2 linked regions of the Lytechinus pictus genome follow. The protein of the gene in region 2 purifies or fractionates together with the protein of the main gene of each other region. This does not show direct contact. Links are inferred from orthologs where the notes say so. Each region holds a gene or a part of one and is shown on either strand. Other genes may lie near its edges.

The links. Proteins that work in one complex are often made in the same cells at the same time.
Region 1: the proteins of ATP-binding cassette sub-family E member 1-like (region 2) and protein LTO1 homolog purify together in Homo sapiens (affinity purification with mass spectrometry; 4 studies listed by BioGRID and IntAct, with this or other methods). This does not show direct contact. The link is inferred for Lytechinus pictus from reciprocal best matches to the Homo sapiens genes ABCE1 and LTO1.

Annotation. Positions count from the first base shown.
Region 1 is NC_087263.1:4,631,393-4,638,661, reverse strand, and holds the start of protein LTO1 homolog, read left to right. Parts: upstream 1-4,265; 5' UTR 4,266-4,347; coding exon 4,348-4,427; intron 4,428-7,269. UniProt on the Homo sapiens protein: The complex LTO1:YAE1 functions as a target specific adapter that probably recruits apo-ABCE1 to the cytosolic iron-sulfur protein assembly (CIA) complex machinery. May be required for biogenesis of the large ribosomal subunit and initiation of translation.
Region 2 is NW_026974140.1:13,119,947-13,127,900, reverse strand, and holds the start of ATP-binding cassette sub-family E member 1-like, read left to right. Parts: upstream 1-4,946; 5' UTR 4,947-5,139; intron 5,140-7,954. UniProt on the Homo sapiens protein: Nucleoside-triphosphatase (NTPase) involved in ribosome recycling by mediating ribosome disassembly. Able to hydrolyze ATP, GTP, UTP and CTP. Splits ribosomes into free 60S subunits and tRNA- and mRNA-bound 40S subunits.

The DNA.
Region 1 (7,269 bases), on a different chromosome or scaffold from region 2:
TGTGTGTTTGCCATTTAAGTTGAAGTGGCCGATACCTTGTTTGTTGTAAATTCTTTCCATTTCTCGAGTACCTTCTAAACCTTTTAAATATTGTGATACCTTCAAAAAAAATAGAGAAATTGCTTACCCAGTGTCGAATATGAAGCAGAATCACATTTCAAACCACAACAAAATATCACGAGGATGAGTTCCTTATTGGACATGCCCTATTTGTAAATATTATGACTCCTATGTCCAGCTCCTTACCAATCTTTCTAAAGAACAGGGCCAGCAGAACTGGCAACTCAGCCTACACGACTTGTATATTGCTTTTTCCAAACTTGCTCACATCCCCTCAAATCGTGGTTTTAATAAAAATCAGCGTACGCGATTCTCATGAATATCCTCGTGTCTCTGCAATAAGCCAAGAGATCAAACCCAACAATTCATTTTCTAAGCAACGACAAAGGAGATTAACATCTACTTACATCAGACTTAATAAACACTCCGATCCATCTGATTTCACGTTCCAAATAGCAAGCCAAAAAATAACATTTAATCTTCTACAAGCGATCTTGAAATTCGAGCAAAGAATTAACTTGGTGGAATCGTACACGGATATTATTCGATATGGCCGCGTTGATGTTTTGTTTGGATAATGTTTCGTGTAGTTAATTGCTTCCCATGTCAATTTCCAAAGACCACAAAAACGAAGGCGTTCTTATTTCTCCAAGCATGCCAAGTGCGCAAAACCGGTGAGCCCTCAGTCACACCCCACGAGACATGCCCAATGATAGGAGTATCGATATGATTTCTATATGATGGCCAAAATGCAATCGTTTGCAGGTTTGGTGTGTAAGTGTGACTGAGGCAATAATGGTATCATTCGTGTAATCAACACGAGACATGAAGGTTCAAAGTTTGTTTAATAGCTAATAGGTTTTTTAATTATATGGCACTCCGACATTAGTCTGCTGTGCAAACCCTTCACTCGAGTAAAGGGTCTGGATTGCAGCCTACTCGTGCCTTAATAAATTGTGTACTTCGAAACAGCAAGTTTTGTACATGTATGTGCTATAGTCTTTGAGTGGAGACACACTTGTTGATCAAAGTTTCAATCAGGGTCTGTGCCTGCAGGTTACTCCGACATCATGTTGTTATCTATATCCTTACACATGGTTCTCTTCATTACTTCTCTTGTTCTTTTCTTGTCTTGTTTTCCATATCTTTCGTCTTAATTATTTAGAATATAAGGCCTATATACACACTAAGATTTTGTTTAACCCTATAAATGAAACACTTGAACCAACCTCCTATAGGGTGTACCCTTGCGCCCTAACTGTGGAAAAAGGTGCAAAATGCACTTTTTTATTATTACTTGCACCCAGGATAATAAAATGATTCAAATTTGAACCTTTATTGCAAGGTTTAACACTGCACCCAATCATGCCTATTAGATATAGGGTGTAATATGCTGCACAGATTCGAGCATAATTGCACCCATTAGTAATGACTAGATAGACGGGCCGTGTCCTTGGATTTTGTTTTTTAATTAAACATTTTATGAGGCAACGGCGGAAATCCAAAGGGGGACATGATTCTTCTCATTACTTTTCTTGTTCTTTGTTCCTTTGGTAATAAAGGTTCAAATTTGAATCATTTTAATATGCACCTGCATTATATGGGTGCGGGGTGCAGCTGCTATACTAATCCCTATATAGGAATCAAATTTGAAACCCTATTTCTTAGTGTTTAGCTTTTAATTTCAAGAATTCACACACAAAAAATCCAAATAGATCTGTTTATACTGTACCCCACATCTTCGGGTAAATCGCACATTTAAATAAAAACAACTAGGGGTCCACTAAAAGGTAAATCTTGTTTAAAAAGAAAAACGGGCGCCCTTAATTATTGTAAACAAGCCATATGTTTTAAATGCATAATGAAGGCCGAAACAATAATAAAACAATAATCAAAATTAATATTTGTATATTAATAAAAATATAATATTATAAAAAAAAATCCTGGCACCTCCGCTGGTTGTTATTTTTCTATGCAATGTTGATCGATGATCACTCGATTTCAGTCGACCTTTTTTTAATGATTTACGTATTTCATTTTTTTAATCGAACCAAGTTACAATATTTAAAGGTTTGTATAGTTTATGTACACATAAAGCACAAATTAGACAGCTTCAGTACAAAATATAGGCCTATCGTGACAAGATGTAACAAAAGAATGTTTGTACATGAGAAATGCCGTTTATCCGTATTCTTGTTACGGAATTGTTGTTGTTTTTGTTCATCTGGTCATTCTCATTTTCTCCAAAGTTTTCAATTTTGGGGTTCTTTTGTTGTATTTTTTTTGCTCATGTTGATATCTCTCTTATCATTCTTATCATTTCTTGTTTTAGTATTATTTTAAGACTTCCTACCTCATATCAATGCCCTCTCCCTCTCCCATTCTCCATATATTTGTAGCCTCCTAGGCACTGGTGACGTCAAACAAATAATAATAATAATAATAATAACAATAGCCCTATATCTTTATATCCTTTTCGTACGTTATCGATCTGTCCGTCCGTATGCATAAAATCATCTACCTCTAGGCTCCACCCTTTCTGGGGCCCGCTGCAGAAAGAGTTGCAATCAATCGTTACTCTAAAAATCATGCGCAATTTGATTTTCAACCATTCAACAGCGCGCATTTGGGACTTGCGATTAATTTTTTGATTTGCGTTTAAATGCAACTCTTTCTGCAACAGACTCCTGTTCCCCTTTTCTATCATGAATAACTGAGAATGTAGTGGCGCACAAATGGGGGAGGGGGGCTTGGAGCACCCCCCAAAAAAAGAGAGAGAGAGAGAGAGAGAGAAAGAAAAGGAAAAATAGAAGGTCGAAATGTAATATTATTCTCTGATTATTATTTTAAAATCTATCACAAAATTTGATATTTATAATAAAAATTTCTAAATTTTTACTCACTCGCTTCGCTCTCTGACAACTTTTTGTCAGACACGCCATGCTCCCCTCAAAATTCTTTGGCTGAGATGTGCTTACAGATACGAAAAAACACCTCCCGTATCCCTTGACGCTAAACAAATAAAGAAACAATTTGGATTGAGGGAATGATTTGAAGGACGTTGTAGGAATCTAACAAAATGTGAGAATAAGCTAGTGCTTTGGGCTATTATTATTAGCAGCCAGTTTTCAATATCTCCTCATTTTAATGACCTACTTAGGATAATCAGATTGAGATAATTATGTGAACATAATAGCTAGAGTAGCTAGGCCCTACTTCTATAAGAACGATCGGAACAGACTGAGGGTTGTGGAATCCTGTGGAATGAGCGTCTTTGCGGTATTGATTATGTTGGCTGCAAAGATGATGTCTATAATACCTATAATAGGAGGGCACTCTCAGTCACAACCCGTCGTGCCCCTCTGTGCATGTGATCTGATTCAGCTCGCGCTTCGCGCTCGCTGTATTGGTTTATAGGCATCACGTGCATTTTCCGGTCTGAATGTAAAAAAAAAAATCAGCTCTCATTATTACCCTGTTTATTATTCCTACAAAACAATCTTTCCATTTCCCATTTTCAGGTAAAATGTTTAATTAAAAATTTATATCGCTCACGTCGCGCTTCGCATTAGCATTAGAAACTTATGATTGACGGAGGGGTGATCGCGGCTTGTGATGAATTTATTATTATTATTTTGACTTTTAATGCACAAAACAAATTGTTCAACTATTCATCGCACTAACAGAGGGCAAAATGCTGTATTATAATTGCCTTTCAAAGTTTGGGGCATAATTTTCTCCCCATGCACTTTGCCCCCTAGCCCATCAACGCCCGGCCCGCTGCCAGCGCTTATTCATTGTCCCCGAGTCAGAGATATCAGAGATGTTTACATATATATATATATATATATATATATATATATATATATATATATATCAGATGTCGCGGAACCGGGGTTAATGGGGTGGGGCTTCAGCCCTGATTGTGTTTTTTTTTGCATGCTGCACAGCCTTATATAGCTCCCCCCACAAACACACACACTTTAATAACCATACCGCCAAAACATATCATATTTTTTATGCTCCCTTCATTTTCTTCGCTTTTTTGTTATGTTTGTAATTAACCTGAGGAACCGGGGGGGGGGGGGGGGATTCGCCCCGCGTCCCCAGAGCGCCGCCCGGCCTACATATAATACACGCAGCGCCAATTTCAACCCACGTGGTTTGTGTACTATGCACGTAATTCCCGGAAGAAGACCTCGATCATTGCATGCTGCATGCTGCCACAACAACACCACGCATCGTCTCATTCATTTCTCAGACGATACAACGTAGACGCAGCTTGAAATGGCTCAATTTCAAGAGGATAACGATTCAATGTGTGATGACAGTGACATTTTCGATAATGTCGTAATGGCAGAAAATAGGTTTGTTGAATTCCATGACGTTTTATTGCGATGTTATAGTTAAAAATTGTTATTATTACTGTGTTTTCCCTGTGACTTTGTATTTGTCCCACATATTCAATTCTGTGTAGGCTCTCATTTTAGTCATTCATTATTTTTTGTTTGTATTTGACTTTGCATGCGATCTCTCTTCTTCTGTATCTGTAACGTTATGATTATCATGAATGTATTTTATATGTGCACTTGCATTTGATAGCCTCCATACAGGCTGCCATGCTGGCCAATCCTGCTTTTTTTGTTTTGCCAGCTCCAGCCAGTTTGCCAATGCCAGTGAAAAAAAAAACGGAATGCAGCTGCAGATGAGTGGACTAGAAAAATTACTAGACTAGACTAGAGATTGAGATAAATGCAAAGCTCGAAGACCACGTGTGTAACACAGGTGGGGGGCACTCTGCCCCTCCTGGCGGAGCTCACCAGGATAATTAACAAAATGGGGGAACCGGGAAGGGGAGAAAGAAAGGGAAAGGGAATTTAAGAAAAAAAGTAAAAGAAAAGGGAAAGATCGAAAATGAAGAGTAAATACTAAAATAGGTAAATCGGAAGGAAGGTGGAAAAGCATGAAAAGGAAGTAATAAAGAACATGTGAGAAAGAAGAAATCATCCTGAAATACTATTAAATGAGTGAGAAAAGAGATGACAAAATGGAATGGGAATTCATGGTGGGAAAGGGAGAGAAAAGGGAAAAAGAAACGAGGGAAATAAGGTAGAATAGAATGAGCTAAGTAAAATGCTTGGGGGAAAGCTGAATTGAAAACAGATAAAGAAGAATACAAGAGCACGTCCGGGCTGCCAAGGATTAAAAATGAAGACCGGGAAGAAAGAATGGGATGGGGGATGACCACATATCACATCCACGTGTGTATTGCAATCGGGACAATAAATCACTGAACTTCAAGAGGTTCCTTAGTTGCTGTCCAAGCATTGCCTATGTCAATGTCCCTAGCCAAGGGCTAGACATGCCCCTTTTAATTTCATTTAATAACTTAGAATTTTATTTCCACAAGGCCAAAATTTTCTTGCTCGCTCGTGACTTTTTAGAAAATTTCCCATGTTGTGCTCCCTCAGAGTGTTTGGTTAATAAGCCTGTTCATGGTTGTAAACTGCGCACGAGCAGAAAAAGGTCATTGGAGACAACCATGAAGGTGGCTTTCAAATTCACTGACAGGCATTTGTGATTTGATGATGATTCATGTATTCCTTTCAAAAAATTTATCATATCCAAGCTGAAGAGTAATAAATAGAGCTTTCATAATCACTGGTATTTGACAGTAGCCTAAACAATAGTCAAATGTGCCAAAGGCAGACAATAAAACAGATTTCCAAACTTTATCCCTGATGTACTATTCTAGTCACTTGGTCTATACAATGCCTTTTGTTCATAGAATTTGAATACTCTACAGGTAAAGCTTACGCAACATCTCCATTTGAAAATGATAGTGCTTATCCTAATGAAAAATCACAAAGGTCATTAGAGAAAAGTTGATCATGAGCTAACCGTGAACTGGCTTATTACGCCTCTGCATTGAAGTATTGTGTTTTGTATCACCCCTATCCATGATTTCATTGAAAAATGCGGCCATCTTTAAAGTTTAAAATGGCTTAATCTCGAGAGGTTCCGGGGCTCCTCCCCAGACCCCACTCACATGGCACTGGCTTACAAATGGAAGGGTTGGGACTTATGGAGCATGGCCCCAAAAGTTTCACGACCAGCTTTTTTCCAGACAAAAAAATAAATGTAAGATATGTTATTTTCTGAATGTCACATTGTCAAAATCAAGTATGAAAAGGTAAAAAAAAATTCTCACTCACTTTGCTCGGAACTTCTATTTTTAAACATTATGCTACTCCCACATAGAGCTTCGTGCCAATGCTTGTGCATGATAAAAAAATCCTGTTCACATCACAATATGACCGGGAAATTTTTGGCTCTTGCTTCAACAATGCAAAGTTATACAAGATATATATATTTAGATGGACGTTGAAAATTAACATTGAAAAAAATAGACAAATAGGCCTAGATATTCAACAAAGACTGAAACAAATTTCTAATTTCTTTGCAAAAGGAAATTTTAGAAGGAAAAATACTGCAAAAAACCTTAACATGTAGAATCATGGGTAGGTTAAACTAGTAGATTCTGCATATTTTGACAAAGCAATTTTGTAATTTGATTTTACTTTGCAAAATACTAACGTTAACGATGACTATTTCAGCATCCTGACTTTGCCTTTGTTTTGTCAAGGAAACGTTTTGCAATGTTGATTGGATCTAGAGGTTAGACTCGGCCAGACAATTGAAACAGTGCACCTCATGCATGGTTTCAATGCATGGTTTCAATTGTCTGGTCAGCAATTGTGTCTGACTACGGCCATTCGCCTCCCTCCCCCATCTCAGTATACTTATCGCTCAGCTGGACAATCAAATCGCAATTCAACACGGTTTAAATTGTCCGACCAGTCTGCGGTCGTGTCTGGCATGGGCATGCCCCCACTCCGATGTTACCATGTCCATGGTCGCCACCAAGTCTTTAGTTTAGGCCTATGACAAATTCTATATTGCAGATGATGAGATGAGCACTCTCTTGAAGCATATTGATTTACCGAGTTACCCTTCCTATCTTTAACTTCTAAAATTAAGCAATTCTGAGAGACACATAATACCATCTCTATGCGTGTACTGAGCCACCATGCATGGTGGCTCAGTGGTAGAGCGCCTGCTTCATGAACAAGATGTCATGGGTTTCGAACCCCGGCCGAGTCAAACCAAAGACTTTAAAAATAGGACCTTCCCCTTTCTTGTTAGCTC
Region 2 (7,954 bases):
AACACTTAAATTTGTTAATGAAAAAAAAAATGATGAGAGCTCGATGTCCGAAGCTAAAATATATTTTGTATTTTGACTTCAAAATTTGCTCCATATCAGCCTATTGAGCAAGATATGAATTTCATCGAACAGGCAATTCTGGCGCGAAGCGCAAGCAAAAGTTTTATATAGTAACATGAAAGATTTGTGTTTTTTTTGCAAGTCTTCCCTTCACATTATTTCATTCACTCGTCTTCCTCCTCTTATTTTCCTCTTCTTTTTTTCTTCTGTCTTTCTTCTTCTTTTCCTTTTTTTTTCTTCTTTCTCCTTTTTTTTTGCTCTGCCAATTTTTTTCAGGGGGGGGGGCACTTGGGGGGGGCACACCAAATCTCAGGGGGGGGGGGCACGTGCCCCCCAGGCCCCCCCCCCCGTAGCTACGCCACTGATTCAGACTAGAAAAAGGGACGTTTTAAGAATTGTTTTTTTTAGGAATTCATGAAGAGCTAACATATCTCACCAATCCACTAACGCGAACGTTAGTGGAATTTTTTTATATTCAGACCTTAAAAGGGTGCAATCACTTTAGGTAATCATGAAAAAGAAGCATAATGTTATGCCACTACGTAAAACAATAATAACTGGAACTATAGGCCTATTTGGTGTATATATTGACTTGACCGGGATGTTTTAGTACAACAGGAATTAAACAGACAATGCGAGCACCAGGAATGATGAACACATAGGCCCTAAGCAAATTATGTTTCATAAAGTTATGAAAAATATTCTTATGTAATATAATACAATGTAATAAATATATTATAACATAGTATAATATAATATACAATAATTTCTTCATCCCCCACAACTATAGTTGTCTCTCACTAAAACATACGTTTTTCTTTTTTTTCTCCCTCTTTTTCTTCTTTTACCCGTTTTTTTTTTGGGGGGGCCAGCTGATTGGGGGGGAGGGCACGTGCCCCCATGCCCCCCCGTAGTTACGCCACTGATTATGGCAATACATACATTGAAATTAGGTTCAAATGAAAACATGAGGAAAAAAATGTACGGGGGTCCTATAACCCCCCTCCCCCACCGGAAACTGATCAGTGTAACAATATATAAATGATCTAAATACACTTTAAGAAAATTTATGAGTCATATGATATTTTATGATATATCTTTTAGCTTACGTTAAAAGAATAAAACGAAGAACATTCTTTTATTTTATGAGGCAATGAGTGCCAAACATTGGGTCCTCTATGTCAAATGGATTTATAAGCAAGTACTGTTTTGGGATTACTAAGGTAAAAATTGTTGGAATCTTCGGTATTGTGGTCATGAAGCTAGGCATTGCGTATTGAATAGTGAAATTGCGTGGAACCAAGTGATTAGTATATTGAACATAAAGTTGATGTAAGATAAAAGAGCAATGTATATAAAATTGCCTTGGTCAAGGGAATCGAACCCGAAACTTCCGTGGTGTATTCGGGCGCATCTTTAGACCACTTGGCCACCGCACCTCTCCGTGATTCTGTTTGATTGGTTTAATCTTTAAAGGAGAATGAAACTCTTGGAGCAAGTTAGCTTTTGTGAAAGCAGAAAAATAAAAGAATAAGATCAACAAAACTTTGAGTAAAATAGGACTAGCAATAAAAGAGTTATGAGCATTTGAATGTCGAGATCACTAATGCTATGGAGATCCTCCCATTGGCAATGCGACCAAGATCTGTGATGTCACACACGTACAACTCTCCCATTCGGACACTGAAAATATACCCCAAAACATTTCTTTTTGCTCATTCTAATCATATGACAAACGATTCATCAATGATAATGTTGTGAAACCTCTGTACTTTTCATCTCATAAAGAAAACACCTAACATTGTGATAGACTCTATAAAAGTGAGAATATAAGTGAAATAAGTACTAAAGTAATGAGGGAGTTGTACGTGTGTGATATCACAGATCTTGGTCGCATTGCCGATGGGAGGATCTACATGGCACTAGTGATCTCAATATTCAAATGCTCATAACTTTCTTATTATTCATTCAATCTTCCTCAAACTTTCAACAATATGTTTCTTTTATTTTTCTCTTTGATATGGATTCAGCTAGTTTCAAGGGTTTCGTTCTCCTTTAATAGTTAGCTGCTCTGGATTTCACTTAATGGTAGTAATGACTCCCCCCCCCCCCCCCTGGTATTGACCGATAATGCGTTTCGGGATGGGTTAAAAAATCAGTGATCGCCGACGGGTGTATAATCCGTCATAAGGTTAACCCATGGGAGGGGGGGGGGGGTTAGTATACCAAAATCTTGTTTGATTGGAGCAAGGGTCATGCATCCCTAAATCCGTAGCCTATAATCTAGGAGGAGGCTGCAGTTATTGTCTTTGCTGTTATGCTGAATGTAAGCGATACGTCTGATCTTGCGAAGACTACGCATTTGTGGCTGCGACGGTCAATGCAATGCGTAGTCTTTTCCAGATCAGACGTATCGCTTGCGTTCAGCTTAACAGCAAAGACAATAACTGCAGCCTCCGCCTAGGTTATAGGCTACTAAATCCGCCACTGGTTTCACTTTCTCATCAAGATTAGAAATACAATTTCTAATTACAGATAAAGTATCATGTCAAAAACATTTGTTTCTTGTTATTCAAACAAAAGAATTCATTCCATTTTGGTAGTCCTCTGATAAGGTATCCACTCAAATTGTTGTATAATAATGTTTGTGATCGCATTCCATCAATTCCGAAAATAAGGACACAGTTAACGTGGCTTTCACTCGGACATCATTAAGATCTAAGCATGTTTTTGTATTTACATATTAAAAATCTACGTCAATAAACTTGAATTCAAAAAAATATTTTCTCTTTCCACTCGCCCTTGGAAATTAAATCAACGCTACTGGCTTATACAGTGCGTATAAAAAAAAAGTTTACACTTTGAAAATGACCTGGGAATTAAAAAATATACAACATGTGGGTAATTTTTTCACATATAATCTTGGGCTTGGGTCTTATCTATCCGATGAAAGTAAAGGTTTTGACAGAATGTTACACTTAAGTGAGCACTGTCGATTTTTGTAAAGCTCGCAGAAATCTGTTTGCGCAGAAATGCTTGTTTTCACGCTGTGTCAAGGTTTCCGGGCGAAATCAAACTTACCCTGCGACACATTTCTCATACATTTCCACTTTTAGTGAATTGCAATAAAACGGATACATTCAAGAATTTTGTAACAATATTGCCACCCAAATTGAAATTTCAACACTTAGTAAGCACAACCTTTACCCCTTTTGTGCCAGCTGGATCTGAGGACATAACTGAATCTGAACAAAGTTTATATCAGACATCTCCAGCATTTTTTTTTACTTAAGTTTGTATCATTTAAAGTGGGTTACATTTCATTTTTTTCATTAAATACTTGTTTCTCCACACTTTTCCCAAGCTTGACAATGATTAACAAAATGAAAATCAAGCCTTAGCCATTTCATGAAAAAGAATAAATGCAATCAATCAATCAATCAATCATGTAAATTACAGCTCAGTGTAAAGCAAATATCGTCACAATGACCTCGGAGTGTGGGGGAGTGGGATGGGGCGCGATACACTCTTCGAAGTGTTTTGGGCAAGGAAACAAGTTTGAAAAGCTAAAATATATCTTCAAATCAATTTTACTTGCTAAATTCCACGTGTTCTTCATGATTAAGGTCTACTTTTATTCGCATAACTATTTCAAAGTTCTGCGCAAATCATGTTTCACTAACTTTTCAAAAGTAAGTGGTGCTCACTCAAGCGGAAATATTTTTCAACAGTTATATCGTCATTTCCTTAAATGGATCTGTACCAATGTTAAAATGAGGAAAAATCTTCAGGATATTACAAATGTATAATTTTACAGGATTTTTTCTAAGTGTAAACTTTTTTTTGGATACGCACTGTATAGCAGAGATCGTCCTTTATGATGGGGATGACGTTTGAGTGTCGTACAAAATTCTGATAGATTGGTTTAATCTCAAATCTTTCATAGTTAGCTGCTCCGGTTTTCAATTAATGATAGTAATGACCCTCCCCCCCCCATTGGCGCACACTGTGGGGGGGGGGGGGGGCTTGGGGCTCCGTCTTTCAATTTTTCACCTCCAAGGGGGGGGGGGGGGGCTAAGGAAAGAGAGAAGGGTAAAATGTGATATTATATTTTGAAAATTATGTCAAATCAATCACAAAATCAGATTTTTGGAATAAAAATGTCGAAAATATTAGCTCACTATCTTCCCTTTCTCGCAACTTTTTTATGAATTTTGCCGCATAATCCATATCTTGCCCCTCAAAAGTTTGGTTTATTACGCCACTGACCCCCCCCCAAAAAAAAAAAAAAAAAAAAAAAATCAGTGATCCATATCTTATAGAGGAATAAAATAGGGACAATAATCAGGAAACAGATCATATAGGCCTATTAACATAAAGTGATGAGTGTCCATTTTTCTTCTCCCTAATTTGAATAGCCTCTTACCATATTATTTCCTAATGAAAGCAGAGTTAATGGGCAATCAAAGTTTCAAATAAAACTTCAAAGGATCGAAATTTGAGACGCCTTGATCAATTGATTGCCGGGAGCAGGGCAGTCCAAACGGTTTATATTCATCAACTTGGTCTAAACGCAGGGATGTAGCCACAGAGGGAGCAGGGGTGATCGGCACCTATGATTTTTGAAGTATTTAAAATGAGGGACTGACGAAAAAGGGGAAGGGAAATATAGGGATCGAAGAGTATGAAAAGGAGAGGCTTGGGTCGTGTTACGTTATAATAACCATATAATTCAATGGAGAAAATGTTGGCGTCCCATATAAGTCGTCTTGCCCTCCCCCGACCACCCCTCCCCATCCCATCAAGGTGCCCTCTGTGCCGCCCCCGTGGTCTTTCCTCTGAACATAGGCTCTCCAAAATTTTGTTAAAGAGCGCCATCTCTCGATAATTTTCGGTGATTGAAATGTACACATGTGTGTGTCATGCTATGCCTAGTATGGTGTCATGTCACAAGAACTTCGAGCAGTCTGGAAGTAAATTATCTGCAAGACAACCATAAAAGAACGGCAATTCGTGCACCATTTTTTGCCAACTTAGGATAAGAGTAAGAGGAAGAAAGAAAATTTGTTATTTTATACGGTAAGCGAAGAATAGTGCGTAGAGAATTGATCATAATTGTCCTGTGGGCATCATTTGCCGAGGAGCGCGATCGCGCGGTTTCTGTGTGGGAAATGGATGTGGAATGAATGAATGAATGAATGGCCATGCATGGGGGTTAATCAGCGGCAATGTTCACTGGAGGTGAAGATCTGTACTATTGGCACTATATGGTGCAACACCATGCACTATCTTTGTGTGTAGACTAGACATAAATCTAGTCCAGTTTTTAGCCAGTAAAAGGCAGTATGATTCTTGACGTTCCGCATTGTTTATTGAAGAAATTTATAGGCATGCTAGCCTAGGGCCGGGGGGTGGGAATTGTTATGAAAGTGTTTTTAATATTTTAGGGATTAACGTTAGGCCTAGATCTACGCCCTTTTTTAATTTGCTGATATTTTTTTAGTTTCAAAAATTGTTTTGGCATAGATTGCGTATGGCTACGACGTAGATCTTTATCAATATTTGAAATAAAAAAGTATACTCTAAAATCTAAATCAAATTTAGATGACTAGGTCTAATTCTAAAAAAAATTAACCTAGAAGTAGAATCAAGGTGTCTCTTGCAGTTGTACGAAGCCGAGTCCCTGTATCATGAGTCTCCGTTTGTTGTATGACCCAGTGGCGTAACAGGCGGGGGGGCAAGCTGCCCCCCCTGGCGAATTTCACCGGGAAAAATTAAAAAAAACGGGAAAAAGAAAAAAGGGAGGGAGAAAGAAAGGGAAACGGGGAAAAGGAAAGGAGGAGAAGGAAAGGGAAATGGAAAAGAAAACGAAGATAAATATATATTTTTTTAACAGAATAGGAAGGAAGGACAGCGGGAAAAGGAACGAAAGAAGAACATTTGAGAAAGGATAAATCATTCCGAAATAGGCCTATGTAATGCAATAGTGTGATGGGAAATTAATTAAAAGATGACAAATGACAAACAATAGCGGGAAATGAAGTTAGAAGGGAATTAGTCAAAAGCTGAAGGTGGAAAACGAAGAAAAGGGACAAGAAAAACAAAACACTTAATAACACGACCGGGCTGCCGATGATTGAAAATGAAGAGCGGGAAGAAAGATGGACTGCATACAACATTGCGCTGTAAGCTTGCTAAATTTTATTCAAATAAGGTACCGGGGCTTTGCCCCGACCCCACGCAGTAGGGGCTCTTCATCTATAACCTTCAAATGGCTCTATATAACTTCCCCCTGTAGGGACCCTTCTTACATTAAGCTTTACGTTCAATGAATGGCGTACAGGCCCGGGGGGTCTTGGTTCCAAACCCAAAGGAAATAAAAGAAATTAAAGGAGACAACGTATAATGAAACAAATGGAAACAATGAAATTTGTTATTTACTGAATGAAAAAAAATCTATATATCACATAATTAGAATTTAAGTTCAGTAGGCAATCTTTTTTTCCAGCTTGCTTACCTCGCTGGCGACTTTTATTAAAATAATATTCCCACATTGCCCCCCCCCCCTCAAAATATTTGGTTCATTACGCAACTGGGCTGAATAAATGTGTTGTGTAAAAGCTATATTCTGTATATACCCGCGATATTTGATTAAAAATAGCAGCAATCTGCGAGGTTTAAATGGCTTTGATATCAAGAAGTTCGGGGGCTCCGCCCCCGACCCCAATCGCATAGCACTTCGTATATGAGTATGGTAGGGTTGGGCCATGGCCCCAAAAAGTTCTACAACCAAGAACAAAAAACAAGGAGGAAAGGAAGGCAAAGGAAAAGTGTAGGATATAATTTTTTTACTGAATATTATGTAAAAATATATCTCAAAGTTAAATTCTCATTAAAAGGTGATTTTTTTTCTCGCTCGCTTCGCTCGCTCGGGACTTATATTAAGCAGCTTTTTTTAACACATGCGCCATACTGCGCCCCTCATTTGTTTGTTTTTTATACTCATCACGTTACTGCCGCAAAGAATCCTGTTCATAGTGGCGTACAGACCACGAAAACAAGGAATGGAAAGAGAGAAAGGTGATATATATGATTCTCTGCATATCAAAAAAATTGAATTTTTGGATTAAAAATGTCAAAATTTGTGCTCGCTCGCTTCGCTCGCTCGCAATTTTTTTTAAAAAGATCAATTCTGCTGATACGCAATAGGCCTATCTGGCCCTCTAAAAATTGTTGCCTCATTTCTCCATTACGCCTGTTCATACCATGATTATGACCGGGAAATTTTTGGCTCTTGCCCCCCCTGGCCACCGACCCCTGTTACGCCGCTGGTATGACCGGATGGGTTGTTTTCTCTGGTCAAGGCGGCAATTTCATTAACATTTTGGTCAATTTTTCATTAATCAATTGAATGTAATGTCACACAATATTACAAAGCAGAAATGTTCATAATGATTTTTTATATAGAATGCATAAATTTTGAGAAAAACAAAGAGCAAGAAGTTTGAGTTTTTATTTGCTTAAAAATCCAAACATCAGATCCCTTTGATTGAATAACACTTCTGCAGAGTTGCAGAGTGAATTAAGAGCTGGGAACAAAATGTCAGGGTATTGTAGTCTTCACTTTTCATTAATTTTTCAATTTCATGATTTATGAATATTTTCTTTTTTCTTTGTTCTGGAAACGGCAAAAGGAAATGTGGTGAAGGCCCAAATTACAAGTTACGTTGGAGTACATGATACTAGATCCTTGATTGGGATTGAAATTCATTTAGGATTGTGAGGGGCAGGGGCTGAATGAAAGGGAGATGAGAGTAAAAAAAAATCTGCTTTGAAAATATACCACCTTTTTTTTCTTGGCCTGTGTGGTCATCAGATTGCAATAAGCCAGTTC